4 linked regions of the Schizosaccharomyces pombe genome follow. Changing the gene in region 4 together with the main gene of any one other region gives a genetic interaction. Each region holds a gene or a part of one and is shown on either strand. Other genes may lie near its edges. The genes, in order: vrp1, myo1, bbc1 and sla1.

Evidence for each region.
Region 1: of sla1 (region 4) and vrp1, changing one suppresses a phenotype caused by changing the other (phenotypic suppression), as found in Schizosaccharomyces pombe (one study listed by BioGRID).
Region 2: of sla1 (region 4) and myo1, changing one suppresses a phenotype caused by changing the other (phenotypic suppression), as found in Schizosaccharomyces pombe (one study listed by BioGRID).
Region 3: of sla1 (region 4) and bbc1, changing one enhances a phenotype caused by changing the other (phenotypic enhancement), as found in Schizosaccharomyces pombe (one study listed by BioGRID).

The regions. Positions count from the first base shown.
Region 1 is NC_003423.3:3,053,234-3,059,314, forward strand, and holds vrp1 (verprolin), read left to right. Parts: upstream 1-2,031; 5' UTR 2,032-2,241; coding exon 2,242-3,040; intron 3,041-3,092; coding exon 3,093-3,223; 3' UTR 3,224-3,526; coding exon of another isoform or gene 3,527-4,827; intron 4,828-4,842; 3' UTR 4,843-4,984; coding exon of another isoform or gene 4,985-5,097; 3' UTR 5,098-5,158; coding exon of another isoform or gene 5,159-5,223; 3' UTR 5,224-5,570; downstream 5,571-6,081. Other genes in the region: SPOM_SPBC13E7.07 (uncharacterized protein), read left to right, coding at 1-99; RNA polymerase II-associated Paf1 complex protein Leo1, read right to left, coding at 372-1,470, 1,661-1,851; transcription factor TFIIIB subunit Brf1, read right to left, coding at 3,527-4,827, 4,985-5,097, 5,159-5,223; rbd1 (rhomboid protease), read left to right, coding at 5,899-6,081.
Region 2 is NC_003423.3:1,023,463-1,029,806, forward strand, and holds myo1 (myosin I myo1), read right to left. Parts: upstream 4,512-6,344; 5' UTR 4,469-4,511; coding exon 4,466-4,468; intron 4,422-4,465; coding exon 771-4,421; 3' UTR 501-770; downstream 1-500. Other genes in the region: monooxygenase Coq6, read left to right, coding at 1-393; coatomer beta subunit Sec26, read right to left, coding at 5,654-6,344. UniProt on the Schizosaccharomyces pombe protein: Type-I myosin implicated in the organization of the actin cytoskeleton. Required for proper actin cytoskeleton polarization.
Region 3 is NC_003424.3:4,104,774-4,112,546, reverse strand, and holds bbc1 (SH3 domain-containing protein), read right to left. Parts: upstream 5,900-7,773; 5' UTR 5,721-5,899; coding exon 885-5,720; 3' UTR 503-884; downstream 1-502. Other genes in the region: RNA polymerase II CTD phosphatase Rtr1, read left to right, coding at 6,838-7,431.
Region 4 is NC_003424.3:1,381,880-1,385,356, reverse strand, and holds sla1 (La-motif domain-containing protein), read left to right. Parts: upstream 1-1,808; 5' UTR 1,809-1,843; coding exon 1,844-2,057; exon of another isoform or gene 2,058-2,132; coding exon 2,133-2,815; 3' UTR 2,816-2,949; downstream 2,950-3,477. Other genes in the region: disulfide relay system thiol oxidase subunit Mia40, read left to right, coding at 271-565, 634-1,280.

The sequences.
Region 1 (6,081 bases), on a different chromosome or scaffold from region 4:
CGTGGAGGGCTAAACAATTCTAGCCGTTCTGCTTACTCTTATATTAACAACGGTCAAGCAGGCTCTTCCAAAGGTAACCGATATGATAGTTTGTGGTAGGAACTCATATCACGCTTTAATGATCACAGAAATACATCTCAACACCTAATCCGCCATATTTGCTTTAAAAAAAGTAGTTTTATTTTATATAGTTGCTCACTACAATTCTCGCTATTGTACATGTGAATCCCATTGCGTTAAAAATTAGACAAGATATAAGAATAATGTACAATTAATAAACATCTTTTAAATCAACGAAATAACACAGAGACCATACTTCGCAAACAAACAAATTGGCTATTTACAAAAATTGAATTACAAGCTGTTTGGATTTATTCGCTATCGCTCTCAACAATCCGACGCTTCACTCTTCTTTGTACAGAACCATCACCGACAGAAGTCTCTGTAACGGTCTCGGATCTGTCAGTTTCCACTGCGCTAGGAATTACCTCATCGTCTTCATATTTATTAATAGTAGCTCGTGCTACACTTGCTTCTTTATCCGCATCAAATCCTTTTATATCGGAGCCAGCTCCAACTTCTTCTTCATCCTCTTCATCTTCTTCTTGTTCCTCTTCTTGTTCCTCTTCCTCTTCCTCTTCCGCTATAAAGTCACCAAGGTCATCTTCTTCATTTTCTTCCAGATCCTTATTATAACCACGATATTGACCAGCTCCTTCTTGTTTAATTCGTTTTAAACGATCCATACGGTCACTGTCAATGATTTCATTTTGTTCGCTATAAGTAGAACGGGGACCGTAGAAGGAAGAGTAATCCTCTTCTTCTTCTCCTGTTCCATTCTGATAATTGTTCAATTGCTTTCTTTTCTCTAAACGTCGCCGAGCTCGACTTCGTTCCTCCTCATATTTTTCAGCCTGACGCTTTAGTAGTTCTGGATCCTTTTCAATAATAATTTCTTGTACGCTTCGACTAGGAACCTGGACTGTGGTGAGACGCATAGATGGCAATTTTGATCTTGTAGCAGTGTTAATGGCTGAAGGGAGGAATGTAAAACTGCTTTTGAAGGATGTTTGAACTCTCAGTAAATGTTGTGCTTCATGTGAGGCAGTAACAAAAGTTGGTTGAGATATTAATTTATTTTGGGTATCATATATGTCGTTACCAATGCGAAGTGAATATGAACCATCAGACCATTGTACAATTTGCGCATTCGATTGATAGCTTCCAGACGGCCCCAATCGCCAGCGGACAGTATTATCAACTTTATGTTTTATTCTTTGACCCCAATGCGCGTCGTGTTCTAATAAAGCTGCATCTGCTTCGGCTTCCGCGGCGTACTGCTCTGGATCGTACGGAGTCTGTTCCACAGAAAGGAAATTTGGAATATGAGCATGAAACACGTCATTACTAGCAGAAGCTGGTGATTTGAAATTGGGAACAGCGACTTCAAGGACTTTCTTTACAGGAACACTAACATTTGTTAGGATGCATAGATTTAAATAGCTTGCTATAGTAAAAGACGCTAATTTTTGATTTTTTACTAAAAAGCCTCATGAAGCGATTTATTACTTTCACCACTGTGGCAGCTGTATAATAAATACACATTTAGAACTACCATCGGCTAGAATCAATTCGCTTCATCTATAAGACTGCAACTTACTCTGCTTCAGGGGCTTCAGTAGCCTCTTCTGTATTCGAAAACAAGCCGTCATCGCTAACGGCTGTTTCACTATCGTTTTCTATATGGCCATTTATAAGTTCATCTTGCTGCGAAGTATGATTGTCTTCATTCTCACTAAACAAATCATCTTCCTCTTGACCGTTGCGGATGTCTTCTTTAGAATCCGACATTAAATCTATTTAAATTCCTCAAAAATTCACCAGTCTAAACTTTCCAGATTGGTTCCGGTCAGAATACGTATGGTGTTGTACTAAGATGCATTAAATTGAATAATCACTAGAAGGTACAATCCTGTTACTTGTAGTGCATGGTGGTGGTAGAAAGCTTAGGGTAGCTCATAGTTAAAACCCATACCCGTGTTTCCACTTTATATTTTGAGTTATATTTATTATTGTCAAAGTATATAGCGAATATTTTTTGTAAAATCATTTAAAATCTGATAATTTAACTTTTACTTTTATTGTATTGTTAGGTGTACAGGCGAATTATCTACTATTTTGATTACAGACCTCAAGCTTGTTAAGATTTATTTTTGATTTTTAATTCTTCCTTCTTATAAAATGGCACCTGCACCACCGCCTCCTCCTCCAGCACCAGCGCCTGCTGCTGCTGCTCCGGCCCCCCCTCTAATGACCGGAGATCGATCAGCTCTGCTCAATTCTATCCAGAAAGGAAAGAAACTAAAAAAAGCTACAACGAACGACCGATCGGCTCCCGTTGTCGGAGGAGGTGTCGTAGGCGAACGTAAATCTAACACTCCAAAAAGCTTTGCTGCTCCTCCTGTACCCACAGGCGCACCCTCTTTACCGACTTCTTCAAATAATACTCAGCAAGCAGAAGAGAGACCTTCCATGCCTGCATTAGGAGGTTTATTTGCTGGCGGCATGCCTAAGCTTCGTCATATTGGAAAGTCAAGTGCTTCAGCCGCACCACCTTCCGCTCCTGCTCCTCCTACTCCACAATCTGAGTTGCGTCCGCCAACAAGTGCGCCCCCTCGACCTTCAATTCCTCCACCATCTCCTGCATCTGCTCCACCTATTCCTTCAAAGGCACCTCCTATTCCATCGTCTCTACCTCCACCTGCACAACCTGCTGCACCGGTGAAATCTCCTCCTTCAGCTCCTTCATTGCCCTCAGCGGTACCTCCGATGCCACCTAAAGTTCCTCCACCTCCTCTATCTCAAGCTCCTGTTGCTAATACATCATCACGCCCTTCTTCTTTTGCTCCACCAGCAGGACATGCACCTAACGTTACATCAGAATCTCCTAAATTTCCTAATAGAGGTCCATCCATTCCTTCAGCTTCTGTTCCTCCAGTTCCTCCATCTTCTTACGTCTTGCAGCAGCGACCTAATCGTGGTAAGTTTGCGATCATTAAAAGCATTATTTTTTTATTAACACAAAACTCTAGTTGATGATCATGGAAGATTCCACTTTAAGGATGATAGTTACTTACCAATTCCTCATCCCTTTCTTGGAGTCCCTAAAGTTTATCGGGGTGGTAGTGGCACTACGGTCCCTTTGAATCTCTCTTCATTTTAACAAATCTTTTTAAAGCTGTGTACGATTAATCTACTACCAGTGTTTAGTTGTTAAACACAGAATTTTCTTTCGTTAGATGGATACTAATAATTACTCAGTGATAGAAAAAAACTAAAAATTCATGCGGCCTTTTTTATGAATATTAAAATTATTTATAAAGATTCATTAATCCTTATAAATAAATCGTTAAATAAACTCTAAAATTAATAAATTAATGTATAAAAAAGGATTATCGTACAACAAAAAAACGAATGTTCTTAAATAGCCCCAAAAAACTCCCAATTGCCCAAATTTAGTAAAAAGTTACGACTGCTCTTCGTCAAATAACATATCCAAAGCTTCATAGTTGATTTTTTTTGAAAAAGCTCTTTGTTGCATCATTTCTTTTGCACTTTCAGCAGCAGTATCGGCTATTCCATCACTAGTGCTATCTCTAGGACGATATCGTCTTCTTTTACGAGGTTGTCGGACAATTCCTTTTTTTAAATCTTCTTGGAGTTTTAAATTTTTCGCCTCTTCCTCAGCTAAATAATCTTTATTCAACTCCATCCAAACTTGAGTTTTAGTCAATATTTCATCCTTGTCAAGCAAAATATCTTCAATTTCATCATCATCAACGTCTTCTAAGGTAACTTCTTCCTCCGAAAATTTAACGTTAACTTGTAGAGAAATCTTTCTAAGTTCATCGCCCTTAAGGGTTTCAGTAACCTCTTTCCTAATTTCTCTTTCATCGGCCTTCAAATGCACAGGAGTTTCTTGAGATTCAACTTTTACTGTTTGCGAAAGCTCTTCAGACTTAACTTCGTTGCCATCAAAATCCGGGGTCCTTTTAATAGGGGACATGTATTCTTGTGTGTGATCAATGTTTGAAACTTTTTGAGCACCGTATTGTTGAAACTTTTGATTTTTAGTAAAGCTAGGAGGATCGCTCTGTCCTTCCAGCCAAATGTTTCGAAAGTCGGCGATTGAAAGATCACCGCTCTCAGTTAATTTAAACTCATCAAGGCGTTTTTGAATAGTGATATCCGCAACTTTCACGACATGAACCACTTCTCGTACGCTTCGTCGAAAATTATTCATTCTTGCTGCAATGAGTAAGCATGCACCACAAATTCCAGCTGGCCGACGACCAATTTGCATCCAGTCTCTATTCATTCGCGCTACCAATCTGATAGCGTCGTTTGCGACACGATGTGTTTCCGGTCCAAATTCGAGTAAAGAAGCAAATCTACTGATATATAAAGACGGATCTAAAAGAGGTAAATTAGGCCTTAAAACGCGGCACAACTTGAGAAAAGTAGACCCAAGCTTAAAAACGTTAATTTGCAAAATATCAGAAAAATCGATTAACATATGAGACGTCTTAGATATCCGGCAAACAATATACAAACAGGATGCAACAACGTATTGCGATCTCCTTCCTTTTATAAAGTTGTTGTTAATTGCCAGTGTAAAGTAGCGAACTGCTGCTTCGATATGGCGTTCGTTAAGTTTTAAAGCAATTGCCAATGCCGAAATTCGGCGACGTCCGTTTGCAATGGTAAGTTCTCTGGATTCTACGGATCCTTGATTTCTGTAAGGGCCACCAAAAGTCCGAGCATGAGCTAAAGCTGTGTTAGATATAAGTCGATGAAAAATATGGACGAAGAGGTGTCTATTAGTAAAAGATCAAACCAAAATTTAACACAGACTGAACAAAAAAAGGTGACTGCATCAGAACTGTAAAACACCGCATTGCTGGATGATTGCCTTCTAACTTACTTTGATCATTACTCACAAGAGAACCCTGAACAACAGCTGCACCAGTTGAAGCCTCTCCGAATGTCACTTCCGAAACAATTGCATCTTGCTCGACGACAACACCGCATTGTGTACTATTCAATGGTTAGCAGTCAATTGCCACGTTAAAATTATATAATAAAAAAAACAACTTACCAATATGTATTTCCAGAAGCGGTATCAGATTCAAAAGTAGTTGAACCGCAATTTGGACATCCCATGGCGAATAACTGAAAACACTTGGGCGTTAGCTGTTTGGGAAATGGTATTTATCAAAGATTAAGTTTAACCCACATGGAGTACTTAAGTGGGGGGGGGGGAAAGAAATATCACTGCAAATATGCATACTAGCATATATTTTAAAGGTCTACAGAGAATTTAATCGGGTTTAATTGTTTGTTATTTTATTTTGTTTTTTTGTTCTTTTTTAATGGTTTGGAAATGAAGAGCGTTAAAATAAAATTAAAAATAGTAAATTGAACTTTGCTTCTGTATATGGTATTTGGACTTTTTAGTTTAATATATATTATAACAATTTTTACTAGTAAATTCTCTAGTTTATCTCGAGCATTGCAAGTTTAGCAAATGATTAATGAATCGTGACTATATGGTTCATTAAATCTTTTTATGTTAATTAACTTGTTAAAAACATTGTTTGGCATATATATTTATATAAGATTATGCAAGTAACGTAATTAGGAGAATAAAAAGTAAGACAGAATATATAAAGAAATAACTTAAATTGCTTGAAGTTAAATAAATATTGGTAAAGATCTTAAGGTACTGTGAGAAGCGTAAGCGGATTCTTATTTCTCTATCTTAGGCAACACTAGCGTTTCTATGCATACAACCTCATAGTCCTTACTCACCTTTTCTCACATATATTTAATACGCAGATGAATCGTTTGAATTTTCAAAGTTTACTCTGGAAATTTGGACAAAAAAGGTTTTATTACAGACCATGGATCAGAATTGAAAATATTAAACCAACACCATTATGGAAACCGATTACATTTGCTGTTGGTGTTGGTTCTGCCACCTTTTATACGGCCAATTATCTCGATAAAAGAAGAAAAAAC
Region 2 (6,344 bases), on a different chromosome or scaffold from region 4:
GGTTCTAGGGCGGCATTTCCGTTGAGACTTGCCCATGTTGATGAATATGTAAAAGAAGGAATTGCCCTTTGCGGGGACGCTGCTCATAACACTCATCCATTAGCTGGACAGGGATTAAATACTGGAATTCAGGATGTTGAATCTTTAATATCAGCACTCTCTTTTGCTATCAAGCACGGTCAGGATATTGGTAGTGTTTTTTCACTCCAACCGTATTTCCGTGACCGTTACTTCAAAAACCATGTTTATCTAGGAGTCGTTGATAAGTTCCACAAGCTGTACGCAATGGAAAATCCGGTGGTCACTTCTGTACGAACCCTTGGACTTTCATTATTTGATCGCAGTGCTAGCTTGAAAAACTTCATTCTTTCTACGGTAGCTAATGGAATTTAGTATTGTCGAAGTCTACTATACTATATTTACGTTTTACCACTGGAGCTGACTAATTTATTCAAACAATAAACAAGATAATGATTTTAATATTATTACAGAAGCTATCACTTTTGTCCCATTTATAAGTATACGCTATGCAATGTATCAACTATATTTCACAATTAAATTACTATTTAGCTTTGCTTAATCAAAGTCGTCGACGAAGAGTATTCTCAATCTATCACAATAAAACATGCAAGAAGCAAATACTAGAAGCTTTCATTGATAGCTAAAAAACATGCGATAGGAGAGACTATAGTTGTCACAAGCCATTCATTATTGCAAATTAAGAATCAAGCAATGTACTGGCCGTATTATATATACATCATAATGAAAGCTCACCAATCTTCTTCTTCATCACTACCACGCACAGCTGATGCTCGCATGCGCAAGGCATCAGCAAGTGAACCAGCTAAGTTGTTGACTTCAGCTGGACTAGCATTATTATTCGCTTGAGCTGCAACATTAGTCGAAGAAGCGGTGGTTTGAGGTGTAGAACCTTTGTATTCTGTCACATAGGTTGCGGGAACCCATCCTTCAGCACCATTCTTTAAAGCAAGCCACCACCCGCTTGGCTCCTTTTGAACAATTTCTATAATTTCGTCTTTCTTGATAGTCATTTCATTTGGACTGCGTCCCGCAAAGTCATATAAGGCCAAGTACAAGTCTTTCTTTTCGACTTCAGCGGGAGGAGGAGGAGGAGGAGGAGGAACAGCACTAGGCTTGCTGACGTTATTAGCAACTGGAGCAGAGGGTTTAGAGATATTGCTTGGAGAAGAAGCTGCAGAAGTTACCGTGGAAGGAGCTGGTTTAGAAGCAGAAACAGTGGTTGCTTGCTTAATAGTTGTAGTCGTACTTGTAACTGGGGCTGCAGCTTGAGTTGTATTAGGACGAGCTTGCATAGCAGGAGCAGGGGGACGATTTTGGGTTTGTTGAGCAGTACTTACGGGATTAGCCATAGGAGCAGGTTTGCTCTTCGCAGCCGGCATAGATACGGGCTTTGTAGCAGCAGGTTTGTTCTGCACAACTGGGCGAGGCCCTCTAGCAGCTGCTGTACTACCACCAGTTGCTAAGCGAGGGAAAGGCTTACTCTTACTGGTAGGAGGCAAGCCAGTACCAACATGAATAGTTCCACTCTTGTAGTAGTCATAATCCTTAGTGGTTTCGTCTTTTGCCGTCTTAACAGTTTGTACCTTGCCAGGCTTTCGGCAGTATTGAATGGTGGGACCCACGATAACTTGAATATTACGATTGATTCTCTTTAAGGTAGTTATAAATTCTGTTTTGAAAAAGCATCGCAAAAACATATCTCCATTTTGGCTGGACTTATTACGAATTGCAACCCAATCATCTTGCAAATTTGTAAGACCAACAGAATCGATGGAAGATACAGCGAACTTCTTCTCCACCTGTTGTGTGAGCTTTTGGTCAACAATTTTTGTAATCACCAAATATAAATTCTTTTTGGTAAGAACCAGTTGACGAGGAGAAGGTTTGGAAGTGCGGCCTAGCTTATGAACAAGGACCTCACATCTCATTGAGAAAATTACGTGATCGTTTTGAGAGAGGCCGCATGTGTTCCATAGAGTACCATTAGGCTTTGAAGCTGATAGATAATCTCCATAAAACTTACGGGATCCCAAAATACTATATCTTCTGCGTTGCTTTTTACCTTGCAAAAGTTTAGTACCCTCATTACGAACACGTTCAAGTTCCATGTTAACTTTGTTCCTATTCCACAACTTCTGAATACAAGCAGCAGCTTCAGATCTTCTTCTAACATAAGAACGCCAAGCACGTTGTATACGGGTTGCCATTGTATCCCAAAACTTATCACGCATGTCTTCGAGCGCGAATAAGGTCTCCGGATTTTTAATGAAAACTTTGCTAGTACCCATTTGGTATTCAGATGAAGGAATATTGGTATCTTTCAAAATCTGTTCGCAAGCAGACTTATCATCACCCTGCCAAGTGTATTCTCCTGCATAACTGGTTTTACCACTAAGAACTGCAAAACGCTGAGCAAACGTATCGAAAGCTTGACGATAAGCAAAACCAGCACGACGAATACGAATGTTTTCTTGCAAACCTAAATATTTGATTTGATGTAAAACCATCTGCTGATCGTAATCGTTAGGCGACTTAGTCTGATTGGGTTTAATCGTACGTATATACGATGGTTGACATTTCATAAGAGTCTCTACTAAATCATTAGCAGAAGTTTTGATACGATCACCAGCTGTAGGAGGACGACGACGGGAGTTACTCTCTTCAGCCACTGGGAAAATAGATTTCATGAACTCGTTGTTGGAAGAATGAATAAGGTTAAGAATATCAGTTGCTAACTGATCCTTATTCTTATCGGTCATTCCTGTAATGCTGTAGGTTACATCACCAGCGTAATGTTTGACTATAAATTGATTTTGTCTCTGTTCAAAATGTGGATTGGAGGATAAAAAGTTTAACCGCTGAGCAAAAGCACTATCCGCCGCAGCAGAGTCAGCATGAGCGGTAGCGATAGCGTCGTTCATTGCTGCGAAAAGACCAGGAGGTCGTTTGGATTCAATCAAATCACATACAACTTTATTGTTGAAATATTTGATAGGAGTCCAAGCAATTTGCTCACGCACGTATTCTTCCTGTTCAGTTTTCAAAGTAAGTTCTATAAAAATTTGTTGCAATTTTTCATTAACATAGTTAATGCACAATTGTTCAAAAGAGTTGTTTTCAAAGATTTCAAAGCCGTAAATATCTAAAATACCAATCGAATTGGAAACGCTGTTGTCTGATGTGACCAAAGCTTTGTTGACACGTTCGACAATCCAATCAAAAAGACAGTTATAAATCGCCATAGACAAAGCATCACGAACAGCCAAAGCTTGTGTTGGATTTAAGGGGACTTCATATACAGATCCGCGCCTTGCACCATGCTGAGTTTGCATAATACGAATTGTCAAGGCACGCTCAATAGCCGCAACAGGAACACCGATCAAATAGCCTAAAAATTCGGTGATGCTCTTGTCAGAAATCACGCTACCACCATCTTGGCCTTCTTGAAATTGAATATTTCCTAACCAAAGGATGATAGAAAGCATCCTAAATATTTCATCTTGCTCCGGCTCGGTGATACCAATAACCTTCATGGCGTTCATCGTTCCTTGGAAGTCCTTCTCATCTGAAATCCCATCAACCGACAAACATTGACAAGCAGAAGTGTAAACATAATTCTCCGGACCTTGAATGCCATATGTATCACGATATTTCTGAGGAGCGCTCTTGGTGAATTGATAGAAAATATGGAAATTACGCTCATTGCGAACTTGATTAACAATTCGGTTCTTTTCTAATAAGTAGTTCGTAATTTTAGCGCCGACAGGAACACCTCCGGAATTAAAAATCATTTCTAAATACTTTCCATGACGAGAAGAATTATTATTGCGAAGAGTTTTTGCACAACCAAAACTTTCCAATAAAGGATTGGTAGCTAAAATAATTTCGGAAACTCTTTCAATTTCAGTGCCAACGGACTTTGAAACATGTGTAATATATTGCATGATCCTTTTTGCAGCCTCAGTCTTACCAGCACCCGATTCACCAGAAATGATAATACATTGATTCTCATGATAAGACTTCATTTGATAGTAAGCGTTCTCAGCAATTGCATAAACGTGAGGGCTCGTTTCCAAACGGTTTTTTCCTTGATATGATTTCAAAATATCCATCGTATAAATACCCAGGTCTCGAAATGGATTTACAGAAATCAACACATGTCCAATATATGTATAAATCTCTCCATTGCGAAATCTCAGTTCCAAGTTTTTGTTAATTTCCTCATCTGTAATTTTCGAAAGTAGGGTTAAATCATCAACACCCACAGTCTTTTTGCGTGTGCTGGTATAAACAGCCTTTTTAATACCATTGCTTTTCCCAGTGCTATTGGGAGCAGCTGCAGTCGCAGCTTTCGCGCGGTTTGTTCTCTTAAGGATGGCCTAATTTATTAATTAGCTAACATTCGGCATGCATATTTACTTACCATAAAATCTATTCACTTATGGCCGAACAAGAGATAGGTTAACGACAAGTCCGCACTTACGTGTAGGTTTCTTCTAATACTGAGATAATTGCGTTACGGATCGTTAAAATGAGCGAAATATGAGTTTCTAGGTCAATATTGCCAAAGACCGTTCGAAACTTCAGACCCCAATTATTAAAATTGTACTTTAGCTGAAAATTGAATATACTTTAGCTTTCTGTCGTTTGCTTCATCCATTTTTGGTATTGACATTAAAACAATTACCTAGCCGAAAGAGGCTTGTTATGTAACATACTCGAACGAAACTTATCCAAATGTGTTTTAGGGTAACTTCATTAGGTAAGGTAACGAACACACTAAAGGTATGAAATTTGCGACTAATTATGATGAAGTGATAAACATAACGCGCTTGAATTAGTTAATACTTGATTTGATTATTGTGTGTTCATGTAGTCGATAAGATGAATTAAATGAACATGAATTTTCAATTATGAATATTTTAAGTCGAAGATACCTTTCATAAAGCGAGAAGTTTTGAAGTATTTTAGATATAACGGCTATCGCCGTTTCAAGAACCAAAGCAGCCGCAGATTATTATAACGCGACATAAAAGGTTGAATTCCCCAGCAAATACAACTGTAGTTCTCGTATTGACCTTGAGTATATTCTATGACAATTAACTTATTACAGATATTAGGATGTAACACAATATGAGAGAAGCTATATGATTTGCAGTAACTTAAACATAATCATCTGTTTATATCATTTATAAAAGAATACAAACAGTGATTTATAGACAACGTTTGTGAGTGCCATAATTAATTGAAATAACGGGGTTTATATATAATACCAAACTAAATGCACGAGATGAAAGCTAATCTACTTGCCTGTTACAGAGAAATACAAGGTACACAACTTTAGTAATGTCAGGATATCAAGTAGTGAGAACATGACAAGGCAGGCTCCTTTTAATTGCGAAATCGTAGAAATATCATAAGGAGCTAAATAAAGAACGGCAGGAAAGGTATTTACAACAAGAGTAATAAAACAGCGTATCAGATATCGATTTAGCGAAATATTAGACACATGATATACCTACTAAATCAGCATCCATAACAGCTTTCCCATTGTGAATTTAATCCATCAAGAAATTTAAAGAGTGGATAACATTCCTTATATAATTCTACTCTAAACAAATGCACCCAAGCTAAGGGCAATGCCTTGAGTTTTTGAACGAATGCGAACATGTCCTGAGATAGGACCGGAGACGGATTTTTCAACGCTAAGACTCATAAGTGCGTCTTCCCCAAAAATACTGCAGGCGTACAAATTAGCACTCAAAAAACCACAGTCACCACGCAGAGACGCGTCTGGAGTAAGACAGTTCATATTGGTTTTCTTCATTATTTTATGTAAGAAATCGTACAGACTAATGTCTTCGTTGGAAGAAATATCGACCTTGTTTTCCCATTCAAATTCCGTCCACATGCTACGGAATTGAGATTCGGGAATGAATGCGGGTTTTATATAATCAATAATGTTGACTGGAATGCCATTCAAAACAACAATTTTGTCTTCGTCGGATGCTTTACCACCATACACGATATTTCCAAAGATTACTGCAGACTCCGTTGAAGATACCTTTACCGTAGCCTGAACAGATTTAAAGGCATGAGGTCCTAAATTCATGGGTGGTGGACGCTCTACAACCTTAAGATCTCCCAACGTAGCCAAATCAACAGAGAGATTCTGTAACGTGGTATCCGTTCGATTAACCAATAATATGTCTAGAATAATATCAAATTGTTGTATCTTCACATATGCCTCACAGTAAACAGGATCTGTAAAACCGGCTAATTGTACGATATGATCTAATTTA
Region 3 (7,773 bases), 2.7 Mb from region 4:
TCTACCACTAGCAATAATCTTAACGACATACGATTCTCCTTTAAAAAATCTTTCAATCTATTTATTCTTACTTCTCTTTGTGTGGCATCAAATTCTTGTACCAATAATGGGTCTATTGCTTCAAATGACTCTTACACTTTCCATTTGTTTCCCTATTTACTAGTTTACCCTAAACTGCGTTTTGCACTTGACGGTTGTTCATTTTGGTGAACAGTCATAACACTTGAACTGAATGTGTTTTCTAAGAAGTTTGTTTGGTTTGCAATGTTACATCCTTGTTCTCTGGGTGTTAGTGAAAGTCACTCTCGTTAATCTTGACTAGGTATATATTTCAGTTAACCGTTATTTTCGGTTTCACCTCGAAATAAATGTTTTTTGTTGATTATATAAGCGCAAGCGTTTGAAAAAAGAGTTAGAATTTTGTAAAGGATTTTTTTTTTCCGAAATTGTCTTTAAGTACAGTTCAATAACTTACAAAATCTTATCCTTTTACCATACATTGTTAATTGTGCATTTCAACTGTTTAATTAGATATAACTGATTATTAGCATATACTATAAAAATGACTGTAGATGTGTATATATATTTCAAAAGTTGAATCACATAGCCCAATCTTTGGTATATATGTGAATATAATTCAGCAAACAACTTCCACGAGATATAAGTCTTCTAAAAACATAGGGCGTGTCGTCAAAAAATGATATAAATAATCCCAATCGTCAAAGATATATCAGTGAAAGAATATACTGACAGACGATCATTAAGGACTATTCAAATCTGCTTCGCAATTGAACAATTTAAAAAAATGAGTGCTGCTCTTTAGGAAGTTTGAGTTATTTGTGATAAAATGATAAGAACTTAAAACCATAGTAAAATAATTACCATTAATTCCAACCAAGCCAAGATCGACGCATTACACGCCACACAGTAACTTCTCCACTCTTTAAATCACCGAATTTGTAGCTTGCAACTGAAACCTTCTTGGACTCTCTGCCTTGTTCCAACACCCTAATCTTCAGTTTCGAAACATCCCACTCTGATATGATACCATAATGCATGGGCTTACCAACTTCAAGAGAGTATTTTGAACGAAGAGTACCTTTTTGTCCACTAAATTTAGCCTTATCAAATGTAACTATATCACCTGGGCGAATCTCACCAATTTGTTGCACAGTAACATTTCCAACATTCTTGTAAATCACACCTCCAAAAGTCTGTTTGTTTATAGGTTCGAGATTATGCGCCAGTATCGACATAACGGAATTAACAAAAGTGAATGCAGAACCATCACCAACCATGCTACCTTGGTAAGCTCGGGCTTTTTTCAAAATTGTAGAGCCATAACAAGCATATTCCTCATCTAATCTAGCTTTTGAAGGCTGTGCTGGTGGAGCTAGTTGAAGTTGAGATAATTGTGTAATATTTTGGTTATGTGGGTTGAATGTAGCTGTCAAGACTGTTTGGCTGTAGTCAGGGAACAGTATGTGTACAGACTTGTATTTTTTATCTTGCCCTGTAATTCCTTCTTTTATCATATATAGAACAGAGTCATTCATCTGCACTACGGATTTAGGAACAGCAGTAGAATTCAGCCACCATTTCTCAGAAGCGCAAGGCTCAACCGGCTTTGCAGAAAAGCTTTCGTTAAAAGGTCCAGTAGTAGAGACAATAGAAGGTTTCTTACTAGCTCTACTCGAAGAGCGCGAAAGATGTCGATGAAGAGATTTACGACTGTCTTGATGCGCTAATGACGTACGAGTAGAAGATGAATCAGCATGTCCTTCATTGTGATGATGATGGTGTTCTCCAGACTTTGAAGACTTACGACTGCTTGTCGATGTTTCATGCCTTTCAGCTTTAGATTTCGACCTTGAAACTGAAGTACGTGCTGGAGCAGCAGAAGCCATAGAAGAAGAAGTTGGAGAAGGTGAGGCATTCGAGTGTGGCGACGGAACCGAAGATCTTGGTGTCGAAACTGAAGGGGCTTCAGAAGAAGGTGCAGGTACTGGAGGAGCCTTTGCAGTAGGAACTGGTACTGGTGGAAGCCCAGCGGAAGGTGTCGGCACCGGTGGAGCTGTAGATGGTGGGGGGACTGGAGGAACACCCACAGAAGGCTTTGGTACCGGTGGAGCTTCACTTGGTGGAGGCACCGGTGGGACACCCGCAGCAGGCTTTGGTACTGGTGGAATTCCAGAAGAAGGTGCTGGCACTGGTGGAGCTGCAACTGAAGGCTTTGGAACTGGTGGAGCTCCTGAAGGCGCTGGCACTGGTGGAGCTGCAACTGAAGGCTTTGGAACTGGTGGAGCTCCCGAAGGTACTGGCACTGGTGGAGCTGCAACTGAAGGCTTTGGAACTGGTGGAGCTCCTGAAGGCGCTGGCACCGGTGGAACTGCAACTGAAGGCTTTGGTACCGGTGGGGCTGCGACCGAAGGCTTTGGCACTGGTGGAATTCCAGAAGGTGCTGGCACCGGTGGAGCTCCAGACGGAGCTGGAATTGATGGAATTTCAGATGAAGGTGCTGGTACTGGTGGTGGTGCTGATGGAGCTCCAGAAGAAGATTTCGGTACTGGTGGAGTACTAGTGGGTATGGGTACAGGAGGGGCAGTAGAAGGTACTGGGATTGGTGGAGCATCAGCTGAAGGCAATGGCACCGGAGGTGCTTTAGACGAAAGTTTAGGAACTGGAGGTACCCTGGCTAGCGGAGCAGCAGGTGAAGTTGATACTGGTTTCGACAAAGGCGCCGAGGGTGGATGATCCTTTGGAGGTTCAGAAGTCGGCGAAGATAGTATATTGCTTACTGGTAAAGGTGGAGGAATAGAGGGAGGAGCAGCAGGCCTTGGTCCAGAAGCTTTGCGTCCATCGTTTGATGGACGTGTCAACTTGGTGGGTAATCTCATATTTGAGCCTAATTGAGTAATTTCTTGAGTTAACCCTGTACTAGATTGATGTGTTGCTGAGGCATCAGCAACAGGAGAAGCTTTGCTTTCGGTAACATCTTGCTTCAAAGGTGGAGTAGCAACATTTGATATGGTAGGATGACCTTGAAAAGTAGCAGTACTAGGAGTTGGAGCATGTATTACCGTAGCATTAAAACTTTCTTCCTCATAAGAAGGTTGAGGTTCGGGAGCAGGAGATTCAAGATAGCTATGAGGTTCGTAAAAATCCACATTTAAACTATTAAAATCCGCTGGAGGAGGAGATGGTAAAGGATGACCGATAGAAGAGCTAGGCGAGGCCATTTCGTCGGGTAAAGCGGGGCGACCACCAGAAGTTACAATAGAAACAGGAACAACATTTCGAAGTTGGGAACCAGTTGAAGGTCTGGACTGGTGACCACGAACACGATTTGACTTTTTTGGGAACATAAATTCATTATCTCCAAATTCGCCAGAGGGCGTCTTTGGCAAAGGAGGTGGGCTAAATATACGTGGAACTGCTGGTAAATCATCTAAATCATCATGTGCAAGACTGGCTAAAGTGTCGACTTTACCAAACCGTAAGCCAGGCGGAGGAAGAGCACGCGCACTGGTGGAAGGGTCAACTTCATTCTGCTTATCCTCGTCAATACTGTCCTCAGTGACCTCAGAAATGCGACTGGGAAGTTTGCGCTCTATGGGTTCAAACGACTTGGAGGTAAAATCGGGCGAATGCCAGGTGCGAGGAGGCGTAATTGGTGAGTTAGCAGCCGATTCTACATCAGCTGTAGCACCGGCACCAGCTTCTTTCGGGGGATCAATTCCATCAATTACTTTACGAACAGCACGAGCAGGATCCAGCAAAGAAGTTGGGGAAGGAGTTACCACTGAAGAGCTATCTTGTGGAGCCATGAGACGAGTGACTTGTGGAGCAGAAGGCTTTTGGGGTACCGCTTCGTGTGCTTCATTAGAGGCAAGTGTTTCCTTATCAAAGTTAGTAATAATTGGAGGAGGAGAAAGCACTTTTTGCTTCTCCGGAGAAGGAGTTTTATGAACTTGCTGTTCGGAAGTTTCCTGAGTTTCTGGGATTACTGGTCCCTTAGTCTCTTCCTCATTATTGGGACCCTCAGCAACAATAGCTTTATCTGCATCGTTGGAAGGCTCAGTGACCTTTATTGGTTGGTCGGCAGACATAAGGCCTGGTAAAGGCATTATATTCCGGGGGGTATCAGGAGTATCACGGTATTCTGCTGGTTGGTTTTGAGAAGGTTCGGAAGGAAGTGGACGCTCCTCCTCCTTCGGTGACGGAGCCTGCTGAGCATTCGATTGTTCAGTAGGTTGAGTAGAAGTGGAAGAAGAGTCTTTTGGTGGAGAAGAGTCATTAGTGGTGCTCTTTGCTTCCTCGGAGGATTTGGCAGGAGTTCTCCTCAAAGTGTTTTTCCGTCCAATAGGTGCAGCTAGACCAGGCAATCCAAAAACATGCATACCAATACCTCCACTCATTTTTGCCATTCGTTCGCGTAGGGCAATTCGTTTAGCTTCTTCGGGATCAATTTGTTCTTCCTCCTGCTCTTGTTCTTGTTCTTCCTCTACATCTTTATTCTCATCATCCTTTTCCGATGGTTCATCCTGGTCTTCAGGTTCAGATTCGGGTTCGTGAGTGCTATAGGGACTGTGCATCTCATCTGACTCAGCATCGTCATATTCATCTTCCTCCTGCTCACTGATTTCGCCCTGTGATTTACCGGGCTTTTGAGGATCCAAGTTAAGGCGCTGAGAAAAGGCTCGATTCAAATCAGTAAGGGGTTTAGCGGGCTTTGAGCTTGAAGCTGGCTCATCGGAATTCGCAGTATTGGAAACAACAAAAGGATCGTCATCCTTTGCAACTCGCTGGCTCTTTGATAATTCTTCTGCCTGTGAGTCCGCAGACGGAGATTGATGGGAGGACTCAGTAGCCATGGTGGAAGAAGCTGCGGGATGAGTGCGTTCCAAAACGGTTATTGCGGATGCAGATGCGTTATCAAGATACCTTAAAGAGTGTTGGGTAGTTGCGATGTTTGGTAAATCAGTTGGGCACTGTGAATGAGTACAATCGACAAGAAAAACTGAATTTGGGTTAGAGGGGATGACGGTAGACGTGTTGGTGGAAGTAGTAATGTGGGTAGTGGTGGTGTTGGTTACAGCAGCACCGGTAGCAGCATCCTCACCACCAGTAATAGTGTGAGTAGCGGTAAGTGGTAGCGAGTCGTTCTCAGTGGAGCAAGATGGCGTCTCTTCAGATATGGTATATGGAGCTGAGAATGTATGCAATTTTTCCACATTTTTTAAAGAATGTGGACGCGAGTTGCTGTCGTTACCGAATGGCGCACTCAATGTATCCACATCAACTATCTTCGTAAGTGCTTCACTTGTACTGTCAATAAAGTCATTAGCTGAAAGATATGATTCTGTATCGGCACCAAGATGCTCTGTATTGTTGGAAATCGACTTGATGCTACGTGTAATAGAAGGAGCATAACCTAAGGAAGAGTTGCGAGAATGAACAGCACTAGTTGGCGTAGGTTGATGAAGAGCCATTTCGCTAGCACGTTCTACAAACACAGCATCCTCTGCTGGCTCGGTAAAGTCCTTTGGAAAGGAGCCAATTTTCCTGTTACCGTCCGAGTCCACATATGTTCCGGTATACCAGTCGCCGTCCAGATTACTGACGACGTCGATAACTTGGCCTGGATCAAATTCCAAGTCATCGGAGAAGCTGCTTCTATAAGGATAGAGTGCAACCACTCTTGTGGGAAACGAGCTCATCGTGGAGCCTGCGATCCGCTAATACTTTTTTTAAGTACAAAGAGAGATCAGATAAACAATGAACCAGTATAAAAAGAATGGTACCATTCAATATACAATACACTGATTCTTTTTTCCTAAAACACAGATATACAAAAAGCCAAAAAAAGAGAAAACAAGATACCAAAGATGAAGGCTCCGCCGATTTATTTTACCACTAAAAATATATACAAATGATAGCGAAGCTGAACGTCATCGTTAATCTCTTCTATTAGGATATCTAAGCCAGTACACTGTCATTTTGGTTCCTAAAGGGCACGCGATTTGTGCAGACAAAGAAGTTTGGTCAATCTTAACAGCAATAAACACCCAAATGATAATATCGCACGTGAAGAAGCGACTGACTACATGTGAGACGATTTTCAATGAATGAACATTGTGGGGAAAGGATCTGGGGAATTCCCTTCCAATCGTAACATCTTGTTGACAGTGATTCGTTCGACTAGCCAAAGGTAGCGTAATGCACTGTAAGATTATTGGGTATTATTTTGCTTATCAATGTTGATTGGTTTTTGTTATTTAACGTTATAATAATATTTACGCAATTGGATCTGGTTTCCTATTTTACATAAGGATACACTAGCAATCCTAAAACGAAGCCACAGCATCGTTGGTTTGCTATATTTACGATTACTGTGTGGGTGTGGGGTATGGTATGGATATGGATATGAATCATTAAGATTAAGGACCAGTTATTTACTAGTGGAAGATATGAATAGGGTGGATGTAAATTTATCATTATTATTTTTAACGGTAAAATGATTTTCTTAAAGAGACCTACAAAACTTTCTTTACATGATTGGTGCAACGCATGCTTTTCTTTATTTTTTTTCCTTTGTCCACACTCAACTGAGAGGGTAATTTCTATCAAAATTTTTAGTACCAAGGCCAACGCACTGTCTTAGTTCGCTGTAAATGAATTGCGTAACTCAAGAACTCTTTAACAAAAATTGCACGGCGCTAAAGTATTTTTACGATGCTCATTCCTCCTTCCAATGCTTGACTGACTCATATCTGCCTAATAGCGATTTTTAAGACCTTCTGTTTTCCAGCTGACTCCAATATATCCAATTCAGATATGAACAAAAAATCAATTCTCAAAAAGCCGAAAAATGCTCAAAGCACTCAAGAAAAGCAATTGATCACGTGGTCGAAGAGTCTTATAGATGAAGCACGCAGTCGACTTCAGTATGATTTTTTTGCCCTCGAATGGATTGAAAAGCTGGTTGATCCGGTTTCCCTAGAAACTTTAGAGGAAGCTCGTAAATACCTTCGAAAAAGTGATTACGATCAAGTGGTGAAGGAGCGTAAACTCGTCAATCTGTGCGGTTATCCCGTTTGTCCTTATGAACCTAAGCAGCAAACTAGGTATAAATTAGAAGATTCAGGAATGAAGGTCTACGGTGGACTCAACTATTATTGCTCGAAGGATTGCTTTCTAAAAAGTTGTCAATATATGGTTGAGTTGAGCGACGAACCATTATGGATACGTGAAGATGCTCGCGAAGCTATGAAACAACATCTCGATCCTCGTCAAGATGAAGCATTTCGTAAAGAGTTGGAAAACAAAAAAATTGAAGATGTACGCTTACTCCTGCAAGCGTTGCCTGTGGGTTATAAGGCAAAAGTTGGTGAAATCGTTGAACATCCTTTGGCTAATGAACAATCATAAAGCAAATGGAAGTTTATCAAATTTTTTCTTTTCACCCCAGAATATGTATAATATTTTTGAACAAAAAAGACACCGACTTGTGTCTAGCGTCGTTTGAACTAGAATGAAAGGTTGCTTCATTCTACAGTTGCGTGCATAGTAACATTTCTGTGGTTTTCGACTTTTTATTAAAGATCGATACAATATTCCCTTTACCATTTACACTTTCTAATTTATTTCACCTTATTGCCTTCTATCTTTATTGTCTCTTTCTCTCTCTTAGCATCTTTATTTCTCGTTATTTATAATTCCGCATTTGATTTCTTTTCCTTATTCTATATACCGAACCTTTCGATGTATAGT
Region 4 (3,477 bases):
GTTTGCTTGTGAAACTATTATGTCGCTAGTTTAATTCTATTATGAAATTAGTCATTCAGGCATTTCTTAGTAATCTCGTAAATCCTGCCAGTCTTGCTTGTCTTACATTTGTGAATACCTATTTACTTAAATCTGATTTAAAAAACATGCAAACTTATATAAACTTAGAATGAATGACAAAGTTACGTTCTTGTAAGATCGTCGCCGCTTTCTGACCATTACGCAGACATTAGAAGTTCAGAGCTCAACTTCCCATAAATCAAAAAAACCATGTTTGCTAAAAACTTACTTTTCAGATTTCCAAAATGTATAAGGATTAACGGTTACAATAATATGAGAAGGTCTCTACTGCAGAGAAATGGATTTCAAGCAGGCATTTGTCGAAAATTTGGTACTGCAACCAAAACTGATGTATGGAAAGGCCGTTTTTTGCCTATTGTATCTGGCGTTGCAGCTGCTTCTTTGACTGCTGGATATTTACTTGGAAAAAACACTTCAAATGCATCATCGAGTCAAGATAATGACCATCCTGTTGTAGGCGAACATGTCCATACGGAAACACAATGTAAGTATCATATGTTTGAAATGGCTATCTTTTTCTGTACGATTATATGAATTTAACTAACAATATAGCGTATAATGAACCATATATGCAGCGACACCGAATTGAAGATGCCATTGAGAAGAAAATGACAAGTGAAACACAACCTTCGACTGACGAGAAAGGCCGCAAGGTCAGCGCTACTGAGAATAGTGCACCGAAGAAAACTGATAAGGAAAAATCCAGCGGGGAGACAGCTGGAAATATACTTCGAGAACAAATAGCCACTGGTAAAGATGATGATGAATATGCTAGGAAATTTGAGGAAGTGGAGGAGGAGAGCAGCGAGGAGTCAGCATTTAATCCGGATACTGGAGAGATTAACTGGGATTGTCCCTGTCTTGGAGGTATGGCTCATGGTCCATGTGGAGAAGAATTCAAAGCAGCTTTTAGTTGCTTCGTTTATTCCAAGAGTGAACCAAAAGGTATGGAATGTCTTGACAAATTTCAAGCTATGCAGGCTTGTTTTCAAAAACACCCCGAAATTTATCAAGATATGGTAGGGGAGTCTGAAGAGGAAGACGCCGAAACTAATGAGAAACCATCGACTACATCTGACGAAAATAATCAACCACAATCTCCACCCTCCGATAATGCATCTAATCCTGAAGAAGACGTTATGAACATGGAGAAAGAAATTGTTAATCTTACACCTATGTCAGTTATAAAGGAAATTTAAAATTTTCGAGGCGCTCCGTTTACTATTTAAAATCCTTCAACAATATGAAATTGAAATTATTCAATTAAAGCATTTGATAGTGATCTCGTAACGAACATATAATGACTCCAACAAATGGAGTAAGTTTAAAGTATTAATGTCTTACATCGGTTTTAATAGTTAGCGGTTCTACAATAAAGTGGATATTAAATGATAATTCGAATGGGGAATCTTGATATTATAGGTTATATTGCAATTGTCGGTAAAGAATCATAAATAGGAAAACTAAAAGCTACTGCTTGTCATTATGGTTAAATTGTATCCAGAGCTACATTGTAAGGAGCAATCTCTGTTAATCTTTTCAAAAAAAAAAACAATGGAAATTCATGGGATTATTCTATCTATTATAAATCTATTATGAATAAACTACTTCTTTTTTAAGTGCCAACTTTTAACATTGTCTTCATGAGTAGGAAAATAATGTCAGTTCGATAATAGGGTAGGGTTAGAAATGCTTCTAGGAGAGGAATCCAACTTCTTATGAAATTTGCCCTTTGCCTGTCTCTCTACGAATAATTAACATCATGTCAACTGAAGAACAGAAGGAAGAAATTAAGGACATCTCATCTAAGCAGGAGAATTCTTCAGAGGTTCCCAAGGCCGAGGAAGCTGGAAAAGTAGTAGAAAGTCAAAAAGATACTACTAGTGAAGAAAAAAAGGAGGAAACTACTGAAAAGAAGGAAGATGATGGAAAAAAAGATTTATCTTTTGATGAAGCTGAAGTTTTAAAGCAAGTTGGTATGTTACACACTTTGTTTACGTTGGATTAAAACCTTTTTTGTGTTGAGTGGTCGTTACTAACAGTATGAATAGAATTTTATTTTTCGGACACCAACTTACCCCATGATAAATTTTTATGGACTACTTCTCAAAAAAATGATGGATGGGTTCCCATTCAAACAATTGCTAATTTCAAACGTATGCGTCGTTTTCAGCCTTTGGAAGCCATTGTAAATGCTCTTCGCAAGAGTCCTGAACTTCTTGAAGTCGATGAAGCTGGCGAAAAAGTACGTCGTATGATTCCTCTAGTTCGTGTAGACAACAAGAGCGTCATGGAAAGAAGTGTCTACTGCAAAGGTTTCGGTGATGAAAAAGATGACACTCAAATTGCTTTGGAAAAATTCTTTGAAGAAAATGCTGGTCCCATTAGTGCTGTCCGTATGAGAAGGGATGACGATAAAAAATTTAAGGGAAGCGTATTTGTTGAATTCAAGGAACCCGATGTTGCTAATAAATTTCTTGAGAAAGTCAAAACTGCACCTTTGAAATGGGGCGAGGACGAGCTCACTATAATGAGCAAAAAGGAGTATGTTGACATGAAAGCTGAATTACATAAAAACGATCCACCAAAGTTTAGCAGCAAACGCAGACGTTTTGACGCTTTTAAAGAGATGGATCGTCAGCGTCCTGGTAAATATAGTAACAGAGGAAGAAAATTTAAGAAGCAAAGGTCATCTAACGCTTCTGAAGAGAAGCCTTCGGCCGCTTCGGAGTAAAATGGATTAATTTTGTTTGTTTGTTTGTTTTACAAATACTTCAAAGACACTGGACAAATAAACTTTTTCGGATTGGTTATATTAGGAATTTTGGATGAATAAATAGTCGTTTCATGCAGTTATTTTGTACAATATGACCTCGTAATTTAATGCTTAAATCGTAACAATATTCGGCTATAAGTTTTGCTATACGAATTTTAAAGGTTTTGAATAATAGCAATAGTTTTTTGCTTCATCACTTATAATGTATCGTACTGAATATTTTAAATTTCACATGAGTTAATATTAAGTCCTATTTCTTTACCAGTACGACCAAGCTTGCATTTCAGAAGTTCTCAGTGGAATTTGCAATGATCAGAATTGACTGAATTAAGAACTTGTATATTTCTGGTGGATATCAACCATACAAGAATCAACTTTAACAGTAAAAATAAAAAAATATCAACCTTAGAACCATGCGTCTTTCACATATTTCCGACTGCACAGTCAACATAGGTTTACAGTTCTCGATTGCTTGACTGGGCTACGCTATCGATCCTACACATCAATATGTTCTTCAGAATACAAAATATAGTGAAGCAAAAATAGTTGACCTTCCTATAGCTTAATTATAACTGAGACATTGCTTAAGCTACTTGAAACAGAATTAAATTGAATCTTTG